Lonchura striata: one gene and its partner. The protein of the gene in region 1 purifies or fractionates together with the protein of each later gene. This does not show direct contact. Links are inferred from orthologs where the notes say so. Each region holds a gene or a part of one and is shown on either strand. Other genes may lie near its edges.

Region 1 (9,967 bases):
GCTGACTAATGACCCCACTGACCTGCCACCCCAGGCCCTCGTCCCTGCTGCCATCGCAGAGTTCACCACCGCAGCATCCTGCACTCCCCAAATCTGGCAGCGGCTGCTGCGTGCGTCCCCCACCCTCACCAGGACAGGCACTGGAGACCCTCCCCATGCCAGGCTGTCCCCACGGTGTGTGGGCAGAGTGGGGATGCCGTGCTGAGGTAGGGGGCACAGGATGGCAGCCTCCGGGCAGGGCAGGAAGTGCCTGCGGAGCCACTGCGGTTGCAGCCTGCGGTTTCCTCGCTGGCAGCAGAACCAGCCCGGGGTAGCCTCGCACGCGAGGCCAAAGGCCTGGCTGCCCCCGTTGCCCCCCGGCCACCAACCAGCCCCTCCAGGCTGCCAAGGGCAAGGCAGCGTAGTGAAGAAGTGGTGAGGTGCCCCCCTGACAGGGCTGCTGAGAGAGACCCTCTCCCGGATCCCCGGAGCTCCCCACGGTGAGTCACCGTCACGTTTCTCACGTCCCCGGGCAGGCGTGAATCATGCCCAGCCTGCGGCACGGCCGGAGCCAGCGGCACACTCGGCCAGCGTGCGCCGGAGTTGAGGCTGCTGGGAACAGGAATCTGAGGATGCTGAGACCAGAGCAGACCCCAGCACTACATCCAACTCCCACGGCCAGCAGCTGACCCAAGGGCTTGCACAGCCCCGCTGCACGTCCCTGGGCAGCACTGGTGTTCCAGCATCCCAACAATTGCAAGATACAACCACCGCTCCCCCAGCACAGACACAGGGCCAGGGACACCACACTGACCCACAGGGATGCTGTCTGTGCCGGCAGGATGGTCTCCCCAACCCATGGAGGCACACTAGGGAGTCACCACTGGCCCTGTAGTGCGGGTCCTCACCCCAGCACCCCACATCTCGCTGCTGCCAGGAGCCACAAACTGAAATTCCACCTGTTGCAGCCGGGCCGACTCCGGTTACGCCGGGAACGCGCCGCTCCGGTTACACCTCCCGCACCCACCACCAGACGTGCCATTCTTTAGCAAGAACAGGTGCCCCAGCCCCCGCCACGGCCCCTGGGGTGGCCACAGCTGTGCCACACCACCACTGCCACCACTCCGGCCTGGCTGCGGCTTGGATGCCTCGAGAGGAGCAGGCCAGTCCCAAAGGTCCAGTGGTATCCCAGCCAGCATGACCCACCAGCCCCTCACACCATGGGCTGCCCCCACAGCACCCTGGGGACACACACCCACACCCAGCACTGCCTGCCCACAGAGGGGACATCCCCAGGTACAGCCCAAAGCCCACCCTGTATCCCAACCCTCAGGATGAAAGCAGCAAACCGCACGCCCAGGGCTCACGGTCCTGGAGTGCCCCATGCCGGGGGTCCCGGTGTGCCCCATCCCAGCCCCCCAGGGGCTCCCGGGAAGCAGGGGGACGGTGCCCCAGCAGCCACTCGCGGCAGTCCTGGTTGTTTTTAGCCGAGGCTGCGGCGGCAGCCGGCGCCCTGGGAATGGCGTGCCGGGAACAGCGCGGCCCCAGACAGCCCTCGCTGGCTCGGCGACAGCCGGCAGACAAGTGCAGCTGGCACGGGGCCGCTCGGGACACAGCGCGGGGGGACCCGGCAGGCTGGCGGCTGCGCGACACCCCCGGACACCGGGATTTGGTGGCACCGTGCCCCCAGCTTAGGCAGGCTCCCAGGAGCAGACACCTGATGTACCTGGGGGGGCCAAACCGCTCCATGCCACCACCAGCACCACCGCGACCCACCGCGTCGCGCCCGGGCTGGCAGGCAGGCAGCCGTGTGCCATGTCCCCTGTCACTGCCGGGCAGCCGGGGCTCAGAGGGGACAGCGGAGGCCACGGCGGGCGCACGCGGCCCCTCGCCGGGCCCTGCCACGAGCCACCCCCCGCTAAGCCGCCTCCAGCCGCAGGGAGATTAACCCATTTTCCGTAATCAGCACATGTGTCACCGCAGATATGATCGCACCCCCCGCGCTCGCTGCGCTCCCCCCGGGGCTGGCGCTGCCAGGGGGCCCTGCGGCACAGGGGTGCCCCACGGCACGGGGCACCTTGAGGCTCCAGGCACGCACTGCAGAGCACTCACAGTTCCTCCAGCCCTGACGTGCTGCAGCAGCGCCCCAAAAAGGGCCGGGGGACCCCAGAGGCCAGCCATCCTCTTCATGGCAGCACTGGCATCGGCGCTGGATTTTGCCAAGACAGTGGCTCAGGGCACGGCGGCTCAGGGCACGCGCGGCCAAATGTGGCACGTTGTCACACCAGAACCTCCTGGATATAAATAGATCCAGAGCGGCGGGATGGTGAATCCCAGCGCCGCAGGGCAGGCGGTGGCGGTGGCACAGCCGTCCCCAGGCTCTGTGGCAGCGACGCTGCTCCTGCCACAGGGACCGAGCGCGGGGACACGGAGGATGTGTGAGGACAGCTGGGTGAAGCCAGGTGTCCCTGTGGGATGGAGCAGCCACACCAGGCGGCTCCGGATGAGGCGCAGGGCACTGCCCTGCTCCTGTCATCCCACTGTCGGTGGCTGTGTCACCGTGTCACCTAGGGGGGCTGCAAGCAACGGGGAAAAAGGGGCCAGACACCCATCAGGACACCCGCGGGCATCCCTGGTGCGAGCACCCACGGGAGCAGGCGCTCCCTCGAGCCGCAGCAAGGTCACCCCCAAGGGCAGGGTGGGGGCCCACGGGTGACATATGGCCCGGGAGCAGTGGCCGCGGGGCCGCTAAGCCACCGAGCCGTCACCCGTTAATCCCGGTGCGAGGACGCGGCGGGTGCCGCACCCGGGGCCACCGGCCGGTGCCTGCCCGGTTCCCCGAGCGGAGGGACCGGCTGGGGGAACCCCCGTGTCCCCCCCAGCACCCGCCGCGCCGCGGGGCGGCCCCTGCCACCAACGAGGTCAAAGGTCAGAGGCACAGATTTGGGGGACAGAGGCACGGATTTGTCTCCGCACCGCCCTGCCCCGGCCCGGGGCGCTGCTCCCCGCCCCCGAGGGGGGTCCCCGCTCTGTCGGGGTTGAGTACCCGGGGGACTGCACCCCCAAATCCCCCACCCCGCCCCGAGCCCGCGGGGGCTCCGCCGCCCGCAGCCCGGCCCCGGGCAGCTGCTGCGGGAGGGAGGCGGCGGCCGGCGGTCCCTTCCCCGGCCCCGCCGCCCCCCGCCCGGCTCCCCCGGGCCCCCCCGCCCGCCGCCGCCCTGTCAGCCGCGCAGAGCGATGGCTTCCTCCGCCCGCCGGCCAGGAAACGGCGCAGACGCCGCTCCCGCCCCCCGGCCCCCGGCGCCCCCCGCGCTCCCGGCCCCGCTCCCCCGCCGGGCCCCGGCCCCGCCGCACCCCGAAAGGGGAAGCGGCCCCGGCCCCCCCCCGCCGCGGGAGGATGGGGGGGGATGTGGCTGCGCGCACCGGCGGCCCCGGAGAGCCCGGTAATCCCGGGGTGGTCTCCCCAGCACCGCGCTCTGCGGCGGTGCTCCGGTCCCCGGTGGGGTGTAGAGGCTAGCGGAGCCGCCCCGGAGCCCGCCCCGGAGTGGGGGCGCAGCGCTGCCGCCCGGGAGCGCCCAGGCAGTCGGTACCGGGAAAGGGAACTCCGGCACCCCCAAGCCCAGTGTAAGAGGCAGAGGCCAAAGCCGCGATCTCGAACCCGCTGCGGCTCCGGTGCTCCCGGCAGCCGCAGCCCGGCGGAGTCCCTCCCCCGCTGCGGGAACCCCGGGATCACCCGTTACCGGAGGGGGATCCCCAGAGGCGGTACCGGAGCCGCATCAAGACCCTCCTTCCCAACCCCGCTCCCACGGGCAGATCCAGAGCCCCCTCATTACCTGCTCGCGGAGACTCCAACACCGAAATCCTTAAACCCGGGGAGTTCCCGGTGGTGGCTGCATGGCGGCGGCACCGGGAAGGAGCTGGGGGGGAAGGGGGGGCTTCGCCCCGGCTTAGAGGGGTGAGGGAGGGGTGGGGTGGGGGTTCCCGGGGGGGTTCACCGAGCGGCGGCCGCGGCCATTGCGAGTCATGTGCTCGCGGGGAAACTTTACCCGGGGCTGGGCCGGGCGGGGCAGCGGCGGCGGCGGCGGCGGCGGCGGCGGCGGAGGGCGGGGGGAGCGGGAGGAGGACACGCCCCTCCCCGTGGCCACGCCCCCGCCCCGGCCCAGCGGCCAATGGGGCGCGGGCGGGGGCGGGGCGGGGGCGGGGCCGGCGCCGCTCAGTGACTCTTTGAAGTCTCCAGAAAGCGGAAGGGGAGAAAGTGGGTGCGCGCGCCGCGCCGGCCGGGGGGGGGGCTCTTAAAGGGGCCGCGCACCGCGACTTCGATGCCACTCTTACCCTTCTTCTCCGCCCCCGACCCACCACACCACTCACAGGAGGAGGTGCTCCAACGACCCCCACCCACCCCCACCCCCAGCCCGCTTCCCTCTTCTCTGCCTCTGGATACCCAACCCCCCCCTCCAGGTGGGGGATTGGGGCGCCCACATGAGGGAAAACACAGGGGTGGGTGCTCCAGGGGTGTAGGGAAGAGATGGGAACACATTGAGGGGAAGAGGGGAGAGGGATAGGGAGTTCCTGGGTTGCCCCCCCAGGCTCAGAGGGGAAGAGCTGGGGGCACCTGTGGCACCCCGGGGGTATAGAGTGGTGCCTGTACCCAGAGGAATTCCCTGTTCTGTCTGTCCCTGGAGAGATGCTGATTCTAGGAAGGGGATGGCGATGGAGATACGGACATGGACACAGGCTACCCAGCCACATTCTGGCAGCCCAGAAAGGGCACCCAATGCCCTGCACCCACCAGCACAGCCCAGACCCTGGGAGGGCTGGGAGGGCAGCGGGGCAGGAGCTCCCCTGCGAAGGCACACATGTGAGGAGTGTAGGCAGCTTCACCACAAGCCCCGGGGGGAGTCACACTAGCCCTGCCGCCGCTGCCCAGAGCCCTGGGATACCTGTCAGGATCCCACGGTACCCACACAGGAGGGTGATGGCCCGCCAGGCCACTCAGCACATTCCCGTGCCTCAGTTTCCCCCGTGTGCTCACCAGAACGATGTTGTACACCCCGGCCGGGGCACCCCCAGCCGGGAGCAGCCGCTGGGCCCCTCCCCGCACACCGGGGCCGCGGCGGCGAGGCCCAGGCGCCGGCATGTGCTCAGCCCAGTGGAATGTGCCAAATCACTCCCAGATGTGCACGGCGGCCAGCCCGACCCCCCCCCACCCCACTCCGCTCCCACCGGGGCAGCCACCGGCCACCGGGGACCCCCGAGCGCAGCCCCGCGGCACCGAGCCCACCGCCGGCCGCGGGGCCCGGCCCCGTCCGTGCCGCGGCGTCGCGGCCCCGAGGCGCGGCGGGGCGGGCAGGGCAGCGGCGGGAGGCGCCGCCGGCACCGGGTGGCCGCGTCCCCGGTGCCACCGGCGCCCCGCAGACCGCGGGCGGCGCGGGGTCGTGCGGGGCCGTGCCCCGCAGCCCCGGCCCCGGTGCCAGGCGGGAGCAGCCGGGCGGAACGGGGCTGTCAGATGGAATCTGGGCGCCGGCGGTGACGGCGCGGCGGGAGGCGGCCGTGCCCGCCACGTGGCCGCTTATGTAAGGAGAGTGCAAGGGAGGACAGCGAGGCAGCCGGGGCACCGGGGACACCGAGCCCCCGCCGCGCACCCGGGCGGCTGCGCGGCCGGACACGCGTGGGGCTGCCCACGGCGCAGCTGTGTGTGTGCGGGGACAGGGGACGCGGGCATAGGTGTGCTGGAGCCGGGGGACAGGGCTCCCCACACCGCTGCTGGGTGTCCCGGGCTGTCCCCTCGCCACGCTGCTCCCAGCCCCGCCGTGACGAACGGCTCCGGCGGGAGCTCCGGCACCCACGCGCCGGGATCCAGCTGCGCCATCGATTTTTCATCCACTGCGGCACAGTGGAGCTGGGGCTGGCACCGGCATGGCCAAGGTGGGGCTGTCCCCATCCCCACGCACGCAGCCAGGACACCCCAGGGATGCTGTCTGGACTGGCAGCCCCCCAGCCTTGCCGTGGGGTGCCCACCATGGCCAGTCTGGCCCAGAGGTGGGAGTGTCCCTGTGCCCTGCCTGGGCCACCATCACCTCAGCCATCACCACGGGGGGACACGGGGGGCCGGGGATAGAGCAGCTGGGGTGACAGAGGGAAAAGGATGAGGGAGAAGGAGAGGGAGAAGGATGAGAGAGAAGGGTGAGGGAGAAGGATGAGGGAGAAGGATGAGGGAAAAGGAGAGGGAGAAGGATGAGGGAGAAGGATGAGAGAAGGATGAGGGAGAAGGATGCCAGCCTGCACCACCACTGCGTCACCGCAGACCCGCACACTGCCAGGCGCTTCCTTCCTGACACTGTCACCCTGTGCCATCTCACCGTGTGCTGGGGGGCCACGTCACTCCCTGGGGCTGGCACGGGGCAGGACGTGGCCGCCGAGGTCCGTGGGGAGCTGGGCACCCCCATGCAGCTCTGCCCACGGGCAGGACGATGCCGGTACCCGCTCAGCCCCAGAGCCTGGCGACGGGCGGCAGGGTCATGGTGCCCGCTGAGCCCCACGGTGTGAGGAGGGGCAGGGACAGGGTGCTGCAGGGCCCCTGAGGTGGTGAGGGCACCGGGACACGGCCCCGAGCGGGCACAGCCCGGGCTGACCCCGGCGCCCGCCCGTGCCGCCGCACACGTCCGACACATGGCAGCGCCGGCTATAAATAGAGCCGGCAGCGAGGGCTGAGCCTGCTCGGGGCCCTCGGGGCTCCAGAGTCCCCCGTGCTCCCCCTGCCTCGGTTTCCCTGCCGCTCCCCACGGCCAACAGGGACCAACGTGTCCCCAAGGTGTCCCCTGGCCCTGCACCCCATTCCTGGCAGCACCCAGGGCCCGCACCAGGCTCCCCTCTGTGTCCTTGTCCCGGGCAGGCAGCGCAAATGTCCCCGTGTCCTGTGAGCTGCAGGGATGCCACAGGCCCCAGAGCTGAGGGGCAGAGCTGAGGTGGAGCTGGAACACAGCAGGGCCACCCCTTGGGGCCACAGGGAAACTGAGGCACATTGGGGATACCAGCACCCCATCCCTGGCCAGGAGCTGCAGAGGGGCAGCCGGGGGTTCTGGGGGACAGGGTGGGATGGTAGAGGCAGGGTGGGATAGAGGGATGTGAGGCACAAGCAGAGCCTCATGCCCTCCCACTCCCCTCACCCCCATTTGGAGCCCCCAACACCCCCCCCCCACAATGAGGAAGCTGCAAAATTAGGTCAAAGCGTCCATTATTTAACAGAAACACAGGAGCTGGGGCCAGGAGCTGAGCCTGGGGCTGGAGCCCAGGAGAGGGCTTGGGGAGGACAAGGCTGGGTCCGCACAGCTGTGGGGCAGGCAGGGATTGGGGAAAAAGGGGTGAAACACGGGGGACAGGAGCCAGAGCTGAACCAAAATGACTTTATTTCACAGCAGGAGATAAAGGGATGCCCCTGTCCTCTCCCCCCAGGGGTCCCTGCCCCTGCTGTGCCACTGGCAGCACCGGGACCCAGAGCAGGGCTGGCACTGGGAGGAGCCAGAGTGCTCAAGAGGTTCCAGAGAGCCCCAGAAGGCTCTGAAAGAGCTGGGAGCAAACATGGTCTGGGATTCAGGGCAGGAGCAACACCAGACCTCAGGATCACACCAGGGTGGCAAGGGGGACCAGGAGCACTCACCACTCCCTGCTAAAGGGCTGGGTGGGGGGGGCATATAGGGGCTGGGGGGTGTCCCAGCCTCCCACCTAAGCTCCCAGCACGCAGAAATTACAATATAACATTAATAATATTATAACATTAAAATATTAATAAAAAGACCCCAGACTGACAGGCCCAGGGCCCAACTTTACAAACATCCCAACACTTTGGGAACCACTTCTCTGCTCTTGCCACAGCAGCAAAATCCCCCTTGGGGCCATGGGGAGGGGTCTGCTGTGGGGGGGGTCAGTGCAGCCCCTGGGCCAGGATGCTGCCCACCAGGGCTGTGTCCTGCAGCTTGTGCTCCAGCGCTGCCTCCTCCAGCATCAGGGAAACCTGGGAGGGAGAACGGGGGTGCTCAGCACTGTGCTGCCAGATCCTGCCCCAGTCCCACCACTGGATCATGTCCCAGTGCTGTCACCAGACCCTGAGGCCACCAGAGCCTGCCCCACCACCCCATGGTACCTTGGCCAGCCGGGCCTCCTTGGCCCTCTTGACCTCGAGGACACCGCGGGACTCCAGGAGGGTGACAAGGGACAGACACTCGGCCTGGTCGACGGCGGGGAGCTGCTGCCGCCGGCACACCTGGCTGTAGGTGTCGTGGAGCTGGGGAGGGCAGGGGTGGTGGGGGGGTTACACCACAGCAAAGCACCCAAGAGACACCCCAGGGACACCCACCCACCGAGAGGGTCCCACCACCACTCACCTTCCCCAGGGTCACCTCGCGGGTGTGCGAGTGCCGGGCGAGCAGGAGCAGGGAGCAGAGCAGCACCTTCTGCTGCAGAGGGAAAGTGTCCTGGGCCCCCCGGGATCCCCCCGCCAGCCGGTCCCCAAACACCTCTGAGAGCACCCGGGAGACGTGCAGGAGCCCCACGCGCTTGGGGACAGGGGATGCCGGGGAGTCACCTGTGGGACAGAGAGAGGTGAGAAAAGGGAGGTGGTAGTGGAGAGAGGAGCCGCACGAAGGGAGCCCAGACTCCCTCCCACTGAGGCGACCCCAGAGGAGCCCCTGCAGCACAGGCTGCAGGGTTTTGGCTCTGGCAGCACTGACTCACCTCCAGGCAGTGGCTTGAGCAGCGTCTGGCCTCGCACCTCCAGCTCCACCACCTCCACGGCGCGCCTGGGGAGGGACAGCCCTGAGCGCCGGGCAGAGCGGGCACCCCTGGCATGGGCACCCCTGGCACGGGTACCCTGGAGCAGGGAAGCCATGGAGACTCACAGGGACCAAGCTGCCCCAGGTTCTGGGGCACACACTGACCTACAGACATCCAGGGCCTTGCGAGCATCACCGGAGACCGCAGAGACCTTGCGGGCACAGAACTGGAGCGCAGCAGAGTCCAGGACGGGGTCACCTGCCACCTGTGGGGCACCAGGGCTATCAGTGCAGCCACCCATGCGAGCAGAGGAGCCACGTCCCCCCGCTCTGCCATCCCCGTGTCCCCACCTGCCCCAGCCGCTCCTGCAGGATGCGGGTGAGCTGCTCCTTGGTGTAGGGTGGGAAGTGCAGCAGCCGGGGGCTGCCGGCTGGGTGGGCTCCCAGCCTGGCCAGGCTCCGGTCTGTCAGGTCCAGGGCATTGGCCAACCCTGCAGGGTGAGAGGAAGAGGGTGGGGGCTGCAAAGGGAAGTCCCCATCAACCCCCTCCAAAGAGGAGCAGCAGTGCTACACCCCACACACTCACCCACGAGGACGAGCCTGGAGCCGGGCAGCTGGGGCCACTCAAAGAGGGTGTAGAGCACGTCCTGGCCTTTGCTCTCCAGCTGGTCCAGCTCATCCAGCACCAGGAGGCTGTGGGAGAGCCCAGATCAACCCCCTGTTCTGTCCCCTCACAGCACTTCAAGCAGGGAGAGCAGAGCTGCTGCCAGCCTGCCTCTCCTGGCATCCAGGGGAATCCCACTGCATCCGCCCCAGACGGGGAACTCACACCATGGGCCCCTTGGCCGTCAGATGCTTCTCCAGGCTCCGGATACACTCCCGGCCGGTGGCCACGGGCAGCCCCAGGTGCTGTGCCAGGGCAGGGAAGACACTCTGGGGGCTGCCCAGTGCCATGCAGTTCAGCACCACAGTCCTGCTGCCAGCCAGCTTGTCCTGCCAGGAATGGGAATGTTACACTGGCCCCATCCCACTGTCCCCCAGCCCCCACAGCAGCCCCACGCCTGTGGCCGTGGCACAGACCTTGCAGTCGAGCAGAACACGGCTCAGACAGACTGTTTTCCCAGTCCCGGGGGCTCCGGACACGTAGAGGCTGCCGGGACGGCGCCCCAGGACGTGATCCTGCAGGAACTGCCGGAGGATCGTCGTCTCCCGCTCCCTGC
Region 2 (10,153 bases), on another chromosome or scaffold:
GCTTTAATGCCCTCCTGGCTTGTCCAGCCAGACCATCCCCTCTGCCATGTCCAAGCCTGTATGGGCTCCATCTCCCACCTGGCAGACCAGTATTTCACAAGACCCAAACCATTCTCTACTATGTTATTTCTCTAATCAGGAGATTTCAGCCAAAATACACAAATATGGCAGCTTTACAGTTAGTGTTTGTTAACAGATCCTCAGCATAAACATTCTGGAGCTAAAAAGTGCTTTTTTTTGTAGTAAAAAATGTGGGTTTGTCTCATCAAGCAGTTAAAACACCACATAAGACCATTTATTGCTAACAAGCATTGCCAACACTGTTTGTTCTTTTAAGCAGGCAGTCTCCTCATTGGACAGGGGAGGTGGAAGTACAGAAGGGTGATGGCTCCCACTAAACTTCCAAGTAACGGGCAAACCACCTTGCCAAAAACCATGAATGTTATTTTTGAAGTACATTAGCATTTTAATTAATCTTATCTCATTACCTCACATGTACAGATTTCCATCTGCTCTAATAGTACATAAATAATTAAAGGACATGCTGAAGGAGCATGTCATTGTCATTTCTGGCCCTTCTGTGCAACAAGTCAGAGCTGAGCAGCTGTAGGACAATGGATGAAAATACAGGAAAGACTCACCTCCTAAAGCTGAGTCAGTGACCTGTTGTTCTCAAAAAGACCTGTTGTTATAAACAGCCTCTAGTTCAGACATATGCTGAACACACAGAGGTCAAAACAAAAAATGGTAGCAATAAATTATTTTTCTGTATTTTTTCTCGTCAGATGGGCTGAAAATATTTGAACTGTACCTGAAACCTAAGTAATATGAGGCTGTTTACCTGAAGTTAAGGCTTATTAAAATCCAACAAAAGATTGGGTTCAGCTACTGAGTAAGATGTCTTGTTCCCTCCAGACAGGTTGATGATTCTTAATCCAAGAATTCAAGTAATGAGCAGTTGAAGTTTCCATCTTGAAACATCTGTTCCGCCAAGTCAGCACTGGCCTTGATAAATAGCAAATCAGACTGATGCATGCAAGTGTATACACACATGCTCAAGTTAAACTTGAGGGAAAATACTTGAACAGACCTCTTCATAGACAGATTTATATAATTAATCGGTAATTAGTCTTTGTACAATGCAGACTGACTCAGGTCAAAACACAGAAAATGCAGACAAGGTAGGATCTTTACCTGTTGCTGCAAAAAGTTTTTTCAAAGGTTGTTTGTGGGTAAGTTTACATACCTTTATTTAGTTGTCACAAACCTTCACTGCTATTTTAACTTACTCATCTTACAGTGGAAGAAAAATATGTTTAGCTAAAGGATAAAAACAAACCACAAGTACAACTGCATCTGCATGCTTTTAGTAATCTCAGCAAACTTTAAACAACTTTGGAAGTTTGCTTAATTTTTAACTGTGCAAAATAAAACCTTACATACACCTCTCATTTTATGAAGTCTGTACCAAGTTTTGCAATGGTGACTCTCCCTCAGCTTGTAGAGTAAAGGAATAATTTCTTTTTGCAGGTTTGTTATAGTCTTATATCCTAAAAAAAATGTCAAGTCCAGTTCTGGAGTCGCTCTGTTGAGAAGGTTTCTACCTGATGTGATGTGCCAATTCAAATCCATCAACAAAAATGCCAAGCTAGTTCAGGAAGGTACACACTTCACTCCCAGCAGAGCAGCAAAGAAAGCCTGAGGAACTCCACTGGAAATGGGAAGGTTTGACACAACTGTCCTCTAGAGTATACAGGGAGGTTGGCAAAATGAAATCGCACTTTCTGTGCATCCTTCAAAATAAACCTTTGTCCGAAGGGAACTAGAGGTATTTTCCTGATTATAAGGCTTTGCATGCTAGAGCAGGGGTGGAACGAGATGATTGCTGAAATGTCAAGAGGGGAAAGAAGTCAAGATGAAATGTGTTTTTACTCAAATGCCAGGCTGAAATAATTAGGGAGTGCCATTTGTTATTTCAGCAGGAATATCCTTCTCTCCATATGGTCTATCACAGTATTTGTGGTACAGTGAAATGAAGAACAGGAACTGGGCTTTCCTTTCATAAGCAAAGGGAGCACCTCTGTTAGTGAATCTTGAAACAGCAAGAGATAAAGGTACACAGGAATAGACTGTCATTTCATGATTTCCCACATTCGCTTGAACAGAAAGTCACCCTGCTACATTCCTTGGTGTGGTGGTGCTGGATTATATAGCGCGAGTGGCATTCACAAAGCCTGTCATGAGTTAAGATGGCACATCGTAGCTGGTGCAATCCTGTCTGCAGAGGAAAGTTAACACGAGAAAAATGATGACTTTCTTAAAAGGTTGTGTTGGCTCTTTTGCAAGCTAGAAGTAAAAAGAGAAACCATCTCTTCCTTTGGGAAGATGAAGTCTAATGAGTGGGCAAAAGTACAAAGTACAGACAGCTACTATTTTGCAAGAAGAAAGTTCATGCTCACTTTTCTAGTAAATTTACATGAAAAAAATGAGGTGGGTATTTGCTCAATCAGAACAGGCCTCTCAATGTGTTAAAAGCTCCTGAAATTATAATCAGACATCTTCCTGTGGCTTTCAAGCCTGTCTTAGTTCAGCTGAAGTCCTTGGTTTTCCCTCACCTCACCATTATGCAACTACTTGTCCATGTCTTTCCAGTCCTTCCCTATGCCTCCAAACAACACGTGTAGGTCCCTGTAACTGTGGCCCTACTCCTCCCAGCAGGACAATGGGACACAAGTGCCTTTCCTAAGAGATATGTCTTATGGAGCGATGAGTTAGGAAAGCAGAGAGTCTGTCTCCATCCTGGCCCCGCTGCTGAACTCCTTTGCTCCCAACCCCACTCCCACAAGGCAGTGCTCTGCTTCTCCACTGCCAAGCTCCCAACTGCCTGGGACTTGACATTTGTTCTTGTTTTCTCCTGTCTCCCCTAATGGGCATAGCACTACTAAGCGAATAGGAATGTACAGAACAAGAGAGTTCAAAGTAATTGAGTCTACATTCATTCAGAAAGCCTGGATCCTTGCCCGCTCAGAACCTGCAGCATCGACATAGTTTCAGAAAGTTTAACCCTTTTCCCCTGAACTCGGTAATGCTGTTTTGAGTGCAAAGTGTTGTACTTCTCTTGCCACTGACCGTGGATACCGAAAAGTGTTGTTCACATACCCAGCTAAGTGTCTTTCACATACCTAGCTCTAGGTGTTAACCAGTCAATGCTTTATTCCTCCTTTTTTTCACTCTGCAGGACAATAACTAAAGACCTTGAGACCTTGAACTGTCATTTTCAGAAGATGCCTGGGGACTTGTGTTGCAGAGGAATGATCACTTAGCAAAACTACTAAACATATCTGCCTGTAGTCTTACTTAAATAAACGGGGCTGTGCTGGGTTGAAAACAGCTTACTGTGTTTTCTGCGGCAAATTCATCTGTTAAGGTGTAAACTCACTTCTACCTCAGTCTGCAAAATCAGTGAAGAATTAGAAATGTTCCAAAATTATTATAGCTGTAAACTCCTTTTTTTCATTGTGATTATGAATTATTTTATTATGTTTATTATGATTTTTTTCATTATGATTCATTCTGAACAAATTCTCATTTCAATTTAATTTAGGAGATTACATTATTTGGCAGCTTAGTATTGATTTTAAATTTGTAAATAAAAATTATTTGTTCCAAGAAGTGTAACATCTAGTAACAATGCTAATTCTTGAAATGGCCTATCAAATAATTTTTCTCTCTGGATCTAAAAGTGCATTTAGACTATCTGTAAACTAAATAATGCAGCAATATGTAGGTCAGATAAGCAGTGAATCTGAGCAGGAAAAAGAGTCTATTGGAGTTTCCTGTTCAATTTTTAGTTATAGTAGAAAAGTCAAAATAAAAAATTGCTCTTTAAAAATTGTCATCTTTAGTCATCTTTAGTCTTTAGTCATCTCCCACTGATTGTTGCTTGACAAAAAGACTGTAGGATGTAGACCATAAGTAGCACAAAAACATAGTGATGAGATTGGATTTATTTATCTGCAGTTCAGACCTAATTACATCCTTTCTAAAAAAAATAAAACACATTCAGAGATGCTTCTGAAAATGTTTATACACAGAGCTTTACTCTGTGATACCATTCTAATTAACCTGCCAAAGCTTTTGCCTGGATAGGCCCTTTATAAATGTATAAATATAAAACAAAGCAAAACAAACAAAGATAACCCAAACAAACAAACAAAAGTTTTTAAATTATCCGTTTATCATTCATTAAATCACATGGATACAAAACATGCAAATAAGGTATGCAAGTCTGAAAAACACTTCAGTTACTACAGCCAAAGGATTCGTTTAAATGTCTGAAAGTTACCAGAACATGCACAACATTGGACACTGCCTAATCCTATGTTGTGCCTCCTCTATAAGAATTAGTTTCTAGACAGCAAAGTATACTACTGCTAGTTTTTCAATTTTAGAGATGTTAGAGAGCAGTTTATGCTAACCTTGTCCTTTCAGATGGTCAAAAACATAGTTTGAAGTCTAACAGGGTTGAAATAAGGGACATGTGAGGTATTCAAAAAGCATAGTTTGAAGTTTAATCTTAAACTAGGGTTATGTGAAGGGCATTCACAAAAAAATAAGATATGATTTTAAAATCTGATGGTTAAAACACTTGTTCCTAGGCTTGAGCGGGGAAAGAAATGCCAGTCATGAGTCTTCAGTAAAGGACGCTGAAGTTGCATATTGCCTAAACGGGAATACGTGCTGGTGTCGGATGGAAATGAACCTGCACGGCTTCAAATGCTGCGCTGACGGGAGTAGCCGGATCTACGTTAGTAATAGCAAGCATCAAGAGGCTGCATATTGCTAAACAGACAGTTCGTGTAAAAAAATGTTATGCTGAGCTCTTCCCGGGTTCTGTAATTAGCTTTCTGCATGCAGGCTCTGAGACATCCTACTCGCTGTGGACTGGGCGGCAAAGGGGAGGAGTGCCAGGCTGACCAGGAAAAAAAGGATTTTTTCACGTTTTAAAAAAGAACTTTGTCTGTAAATTATAGGAGATAAATACGGGGAGGAGGAGGTTGCCAACATTTCTGTGGATTCTCAGACTCTCTCCCTGCAAACTAAAGCTGCAGAGCTGACAGGGCTGGGAGAAAGGTGGAAAGTTTGTGCTTTTTTCCAAAGCTCCACTACATGCTGTAGTTTTCCCATACGACGTGAGCCGGTCGGTGTTGCACGAAAGGACGGCGTCCCTCCTTTTTCTGCTTCAGCGAAACATGCGGCAGCTTAGCTCACCGTCCTGTGTCTACGGGGAAATATGCTTTGCGTCGAAACCACACCTCAAAACAAGTAAATAGAAACTTGCCTCATTTCTATGAGGGGAGGAGGGGGGAAAGAAAAGGTTCAGTCGTCGCTACCTCTTTTCCTCTACCCGTCTTCCTTGTCCTCTGCGCTATTTCTGTAAAATGCTGAAAAACTTCACTTTCACAGTGTGCGGGGGGGCGGGTGGATGTGTACTGCCGGGCTGATAATTATTAGCAGCAGGTTTCAAGTACGAGTTGCCTTCAGGACAAAAAATAATAAATCTGAACGACTGCCTTTAAAACCTTTCTGAAGATGAAAGGTAGGACAAGACAGTTGTTTTAAAGTGGCCACATTAGCAGTGCTACTTTACAAGACTATAAATAATAGTATAAGCACGAGAGAAACGTCGGCGGAGCGCCGCACTTGCTGAAAACCCGCTTCCACTCCAGGGCGAGCGCCGCGCCGGCCGCTCCTTTCCGGGGACTCTGCGCCGGGCAGCGCTCCCCGGCTGCTGGCCGGGCGGTACCGCCCTGCCGGGCCCGGCACCGGAGCCGGAGCCGGAGCCGGCACCGCTCCGCCATCGCCGCCGCGGCGGGGCAGGGCCGAAGCGGGCCGGGCCGGACCGGGCGGCGGGGAGGAGCCGCCCGCGCTCCCCATAGGCAGGGCGGGCGGCAGGGCCGGCCCCTCTCCGGGCTGGGTGCGGTATAGGGGGGGCCGGGGGTGGAGTAGGGTGAAATAGAGGCGGGCGTGTGTCACCGGGTAGATACCCACGGCCAGGTACAGGCGGAGGCACTGACGATACCGGAGTGGATGCGCTCCGGGCTGGTGCTCCTGGGGAGTGAGCGCACGAGCAGCCACCGCCCGCCCGCCCGGAGCCGCCCGCGGGTCACTCGCCCTGCGCCGGGGCGGGCAGCCCGTCCGCGCCGCGCTCGCCGCCAGCCTCATGGCCACCAGGGTGCTGACCATGACCGCCCGCCTGGGGCCCGTGCAGCAGCCCGACGAGCCGGTGTTCGCTCAGCTGAAGCCCGTGCTGGGGGCCCGGGAGGCAGCGATCTTCCCCGGAGAGGACCTGAAGCAGCAGCAGCCGCCGCCGCAGCAGCAGCAGCAGCAGCACCCGGGGGGCGGCGGCGCGAACCTGCCGGCGGAGGAGATGGTGCAGGTAGGCAGCGAGCACCGCTCACAGCCGCCGGTGGGCACTCGGTGCCCACGCAGCCCCCGGAGCCGCGCCTCGCCCCGCTCGGAGCGGCCGCTGCGGGGCGGGCGGGACTGGGTGGGGCCGGACTGCGGGGCGAGGGCGGCGGACGCCGAACTCCGCGGCTGTGGCGGCAGCGGCAGCGGCGGAGTGTGTGTGGTGTGTCTGTGCGGGGAGCGGCCACGCCGCCCATCCCGCCCGTGCGGAGCGGGAAGCGCTCCCGTGTTCCGCCGGCGGAGCGCGGCGAGGCGGCCGGGCCGCGGCGGGGCGCGGGCTCCGGGGGCAGCGGCCGGGCCGGCCCGGCGAGGCGGGGGGAGCCGGGCTGCCCCCGCCAGTGTGTTGAAAGCTACAGCTGCTGCCTTCGCACTTGCCCGGCGGCAGAATTAGAGCGGCCGCCTGTCCTCCTCGCCCACGCAAGGAGTCATGTTCGGGGGGCGGGGGGGGCAGAGCACACGACTCACTGGTAACGGGGGACTTCCCAGGACTTTGTGCCTGTCCCAGGAGGCTGTTTGGGAGCGGATCCGCAGGCAAACAGCTGGAGGAGCTAAAAGCGGGAAGGTGCGAACCGCAGCCGGGCTCCAGTCCGCGAACGGAGCCCGCTCCAGGGGCGGTTCCCGGCGCCCTGCGAGGCGCTGGCATTTCCCCGGTCGGCGGAGAGGCAGCCCCGGTGCCGGGCAGCGCTCTGTCGGGCGCTGTCTCTCGGTGGTGTCTTCCCTAACGAGTAAATAAGTCCCCGTCTTCAAAGCGAGTTGCCCTCGACTCGTAAACAAGAGCTGAAAAAAGTAGCCTGGCATGTCGGGGCAGATCCAGATCAAAGGGACGGGAAGGCGGCTGTGTTTGTTTGTGGTGTTTACCGGGGGTCTTTGAAGAAAGGTCCTAAAATCCACTTTCGGGCAGAGTTGCTGTTTGTCAGCTGCTTTCGCTTGCGGGGTGCTAAACGGGTCTGGTATGAGCACTCTCTTGACAGGGCAGGGGGGAATGTAGCATTTGCCCACTGAAGACGGCATGGTAAATGTTTTGCCGATGACTGTACGCCAGTAATGTATAGGGCTCCAGCCACCCACGGATTCCCTCGCACTACTGTGCTAAGAGGGTGATTTTCCAGTAATTAAAGAGCTCTTCGAGAACCGAGGCATGGATAGGGACATGTTTATCACGCTATTAATTAGACAATTATACACTGCATAGATTATTACTGGTTTAAGTGTAGTCCTGGAGACACTTTACACAAAGAGTACTCTGATGTAGTCAACCTGTCTCCTTCTTATTCAATATTATTAATAACTTTACACTTTGGTGTTGTATTTCTAATTAAATCCCGTTCTTCCAGGGATGAAGAATCATGGAAGTATGTTATCTATCTATCTATCTATAAATCTATAAACATTATTTGAAGTATTAGTATTCATATAGTCAGCTGAGGATGTGGCTTTTACAGTTAGCATTTCAAAGAGAAGCGGGTGAAACAGGCAGTCACCCTGCTCGAGCAGTGAATTCCAGAGCAGGAGATCTGAAGATTAGGCAGAGCGCCTGTCACTTCTGCGCCTTGCGTTGTGTTTTAGACATAAAGATGAAAAGTTTGTGTATGCTGAAACATCAGATCTGTCTTAATGTGTGAACACTTTATCTCCTTGTCCTTGATGATGTTGATCAGTGTGCTGATTGTAAAATCAAGCAGGTTTTCATTAGTGTGAGCATTCATAACTTCCTCTGTAGGTGTCTTGCGGCTGGGTGAACAGTATTGCCTTTTGTTTGTAAAGCCTCACATGACTTGGATGCCATCATCTTCCTTAGCTGGTAACAAATCATGTGGACTATGGTCTGTTTTGTCTTTGTAGACGAGATGTGAAATGGAGAAATACCTGGCACCTCAGCTCCCACCCATTCCTGTCATCCCTGAACATAAGAAATACAGAAGAGACAGTGCCTCGGTTGTAGACCAGTTTTTCACTGACAGCGAAGGGTTGCCTTACAGCATCAACATGAACGTGTTCCTGCCTGACATCAGCCACTTGAGAACTGGCTTGTACAAATCTCAGCGACCCTGCGTAACCCACATCAAGACAGAGCCATCTTCAGTCACCATCTTCAGTCACCAGAATGAAACTCCTGCCCCTGCTCCCACTCAGGCCCTCCCAGAATTTACCAGCATCTTCAGCTCCCACCAAACTCCTGACGTGAACAACATTTTCATCAAGCAGGAGCTTCCTACTCCAGATGTCCATCTTTCCATCACGCCCCAGCAAGGCCAGTTGTATCAGCTCTTGAGCTCACCGGATTTAGACATGCCCAGCACCACTCCTCAGGCAGCCGTGATGGACTCCCTTAACAATGTCTCCATGCCCTCAGCCATGGCGGGCCTTAACACGCTCTCCTCAGCTGTTCCACAGACTGCAATGAAACAGTTCCAGGGCATCCCCCCCTGTACCTACACCATGCCAAACCAGTTTCTGCAGCAGCAGGCCACTTACTTCCCCCCTTCACCCCCAAGCTCAGAGCCTGGAAGTCCAGACAGACAAGCAGAGATGCTGCAGAATTTAACCCCTCCTCCATCATATGCCGCAACTATAGCTTCCAAGCTGGCAATTCACAACCCAAATTTACCAGCAACTCTGCCCATAACCCCCCAGAACATCCAACCTGTTAGATACAACAGGAGAAGTAACCCAGATTTGGAGAAAAGACGTATCCACTACTGTGACTACCCAGGTAAGCAATCTGTGCCAGGAAATCCCAGCTCTTGCAATAAAAAAAAAAAAAAAAAAAAAAAAAAAAGCGTGAATAATAATGGATGAGGTATAAGTGGTTTTCTTTAGCTGTGGTCTACATCTAGGGAGAACCAAATAGTTCTTTGTCCAAGTAGAATTTATCTCTGTCGTCATTTTGAGTGGAAGGCTCTCACATTCATTAAATAATTGGTATTATTCATGTCATTTGTCATTCTCTTGAACTCATTTTACCCTGTTACAAAATAGAGATTCTGTAGAAAATAAAAAACAAAAAATTTTGGCCTTTGCTAGTGTAAATCGGTGTGACTGTCCAGTATTCATGATGGAGCAGAGGCTCAGTTTGTCCAGTGCAGTACAGCTCTGTTTGAATTTTCTGGCACTGCAAGAATAATTGCAGCTCCCGGTAGCCAAGGCCACAGCCATTCTTCCCTGTTACAAACAGGAGATTCAGCTGCCCTCATAAATCCATTAAAACCATCTCTGCAAATTGTCCACAGATGGATTGCCTTCTGCACTGGAGGGGAAGAGGGATCTGACTAAAGTGTGCCTCCATGTAGTATGTGATCCCAGATACAGGCTGTGCACACCCGTTGTAAGCGCAGAGAGAAACTGCTGCTCCCCCTTTACCAACTCGGGGTGCCATATCACCTATTCGGTGTGCCTTACAACAAATGCCAGTGAAAGAGTTGTGTTGAGCCCTGGGTGACAATGCCATAGAGTCTGGCTTGATCAGATCCTCTTGGAAATTTTTTAAAAATAATCAAAGAATCCCCCCCTGCTAAATTGTGGACTTACTTAGCAGGTGTTACTGTACATAGATTGTAGCAGCTATTGGCCTATATACTACATTACAAAGCAGTAAGTCGACCAGAAACATACATCTTTTCTGTGTCAAGCAACATATCTCTAGGAGCATTCTGTATAGAATTTTGCTTCTAAATGGCAAAAATTA

Evidence for each region.
Region 2: the proteins of RARA (region 1) and KLF5 purify together in Homo sapiens (affinity purification with western blotting; 4 studies listed by BioGRID). This does not show direct contact. The link is inferred for Lonchura striata from reciprocal best matches to the Homo sapiens genes RARA and KLF5.

The regions. Positions count from the first base shown.
Region 1 is NC_134627.1:6,946,814-6,956,780, forward strand, and holds the start of RARA (retinoic acid receptor alpha), read right to left. Parts: upstream 3,938-9,967; 5' UTR 3,813-3,937; intron 1-3,812. Other genes in the region: CDC6 (cell division control protein 6 homolog), read right to left, coding at 7,901-7,990, 8,120-8,260, 8,361-8,560, 8,710-8,774, 8,913-9,013, 9,099-9,238, 9,334-9,440, 9,577-9,740 and 1 more. UniProt on the Homo sapiens protein: Receptor for retinoic acid. Retinoic acid receptors bind as heterodimers to their target response elements in response to their ligands, all-trans or 9-cis retinoic acid, and regulate gene expression in various biological processes.
Region 2 is NC_134604.1:50,474,520-50,484,672, reverse strand, and holds the start of KLF5 (Krueppel-like factor 5), read left to right. Parts: upstream 1-6,092; 5' UTR 6,093-6,223; coding exon 6,224-6,439; intron 6,440-8,310; coding exon 8,311-9,181; intron 9,182-10,153. UniProt on the Homo sapiens protein: Transcription factor that binds to GC box promoter elements. Activates the transcription of these genes.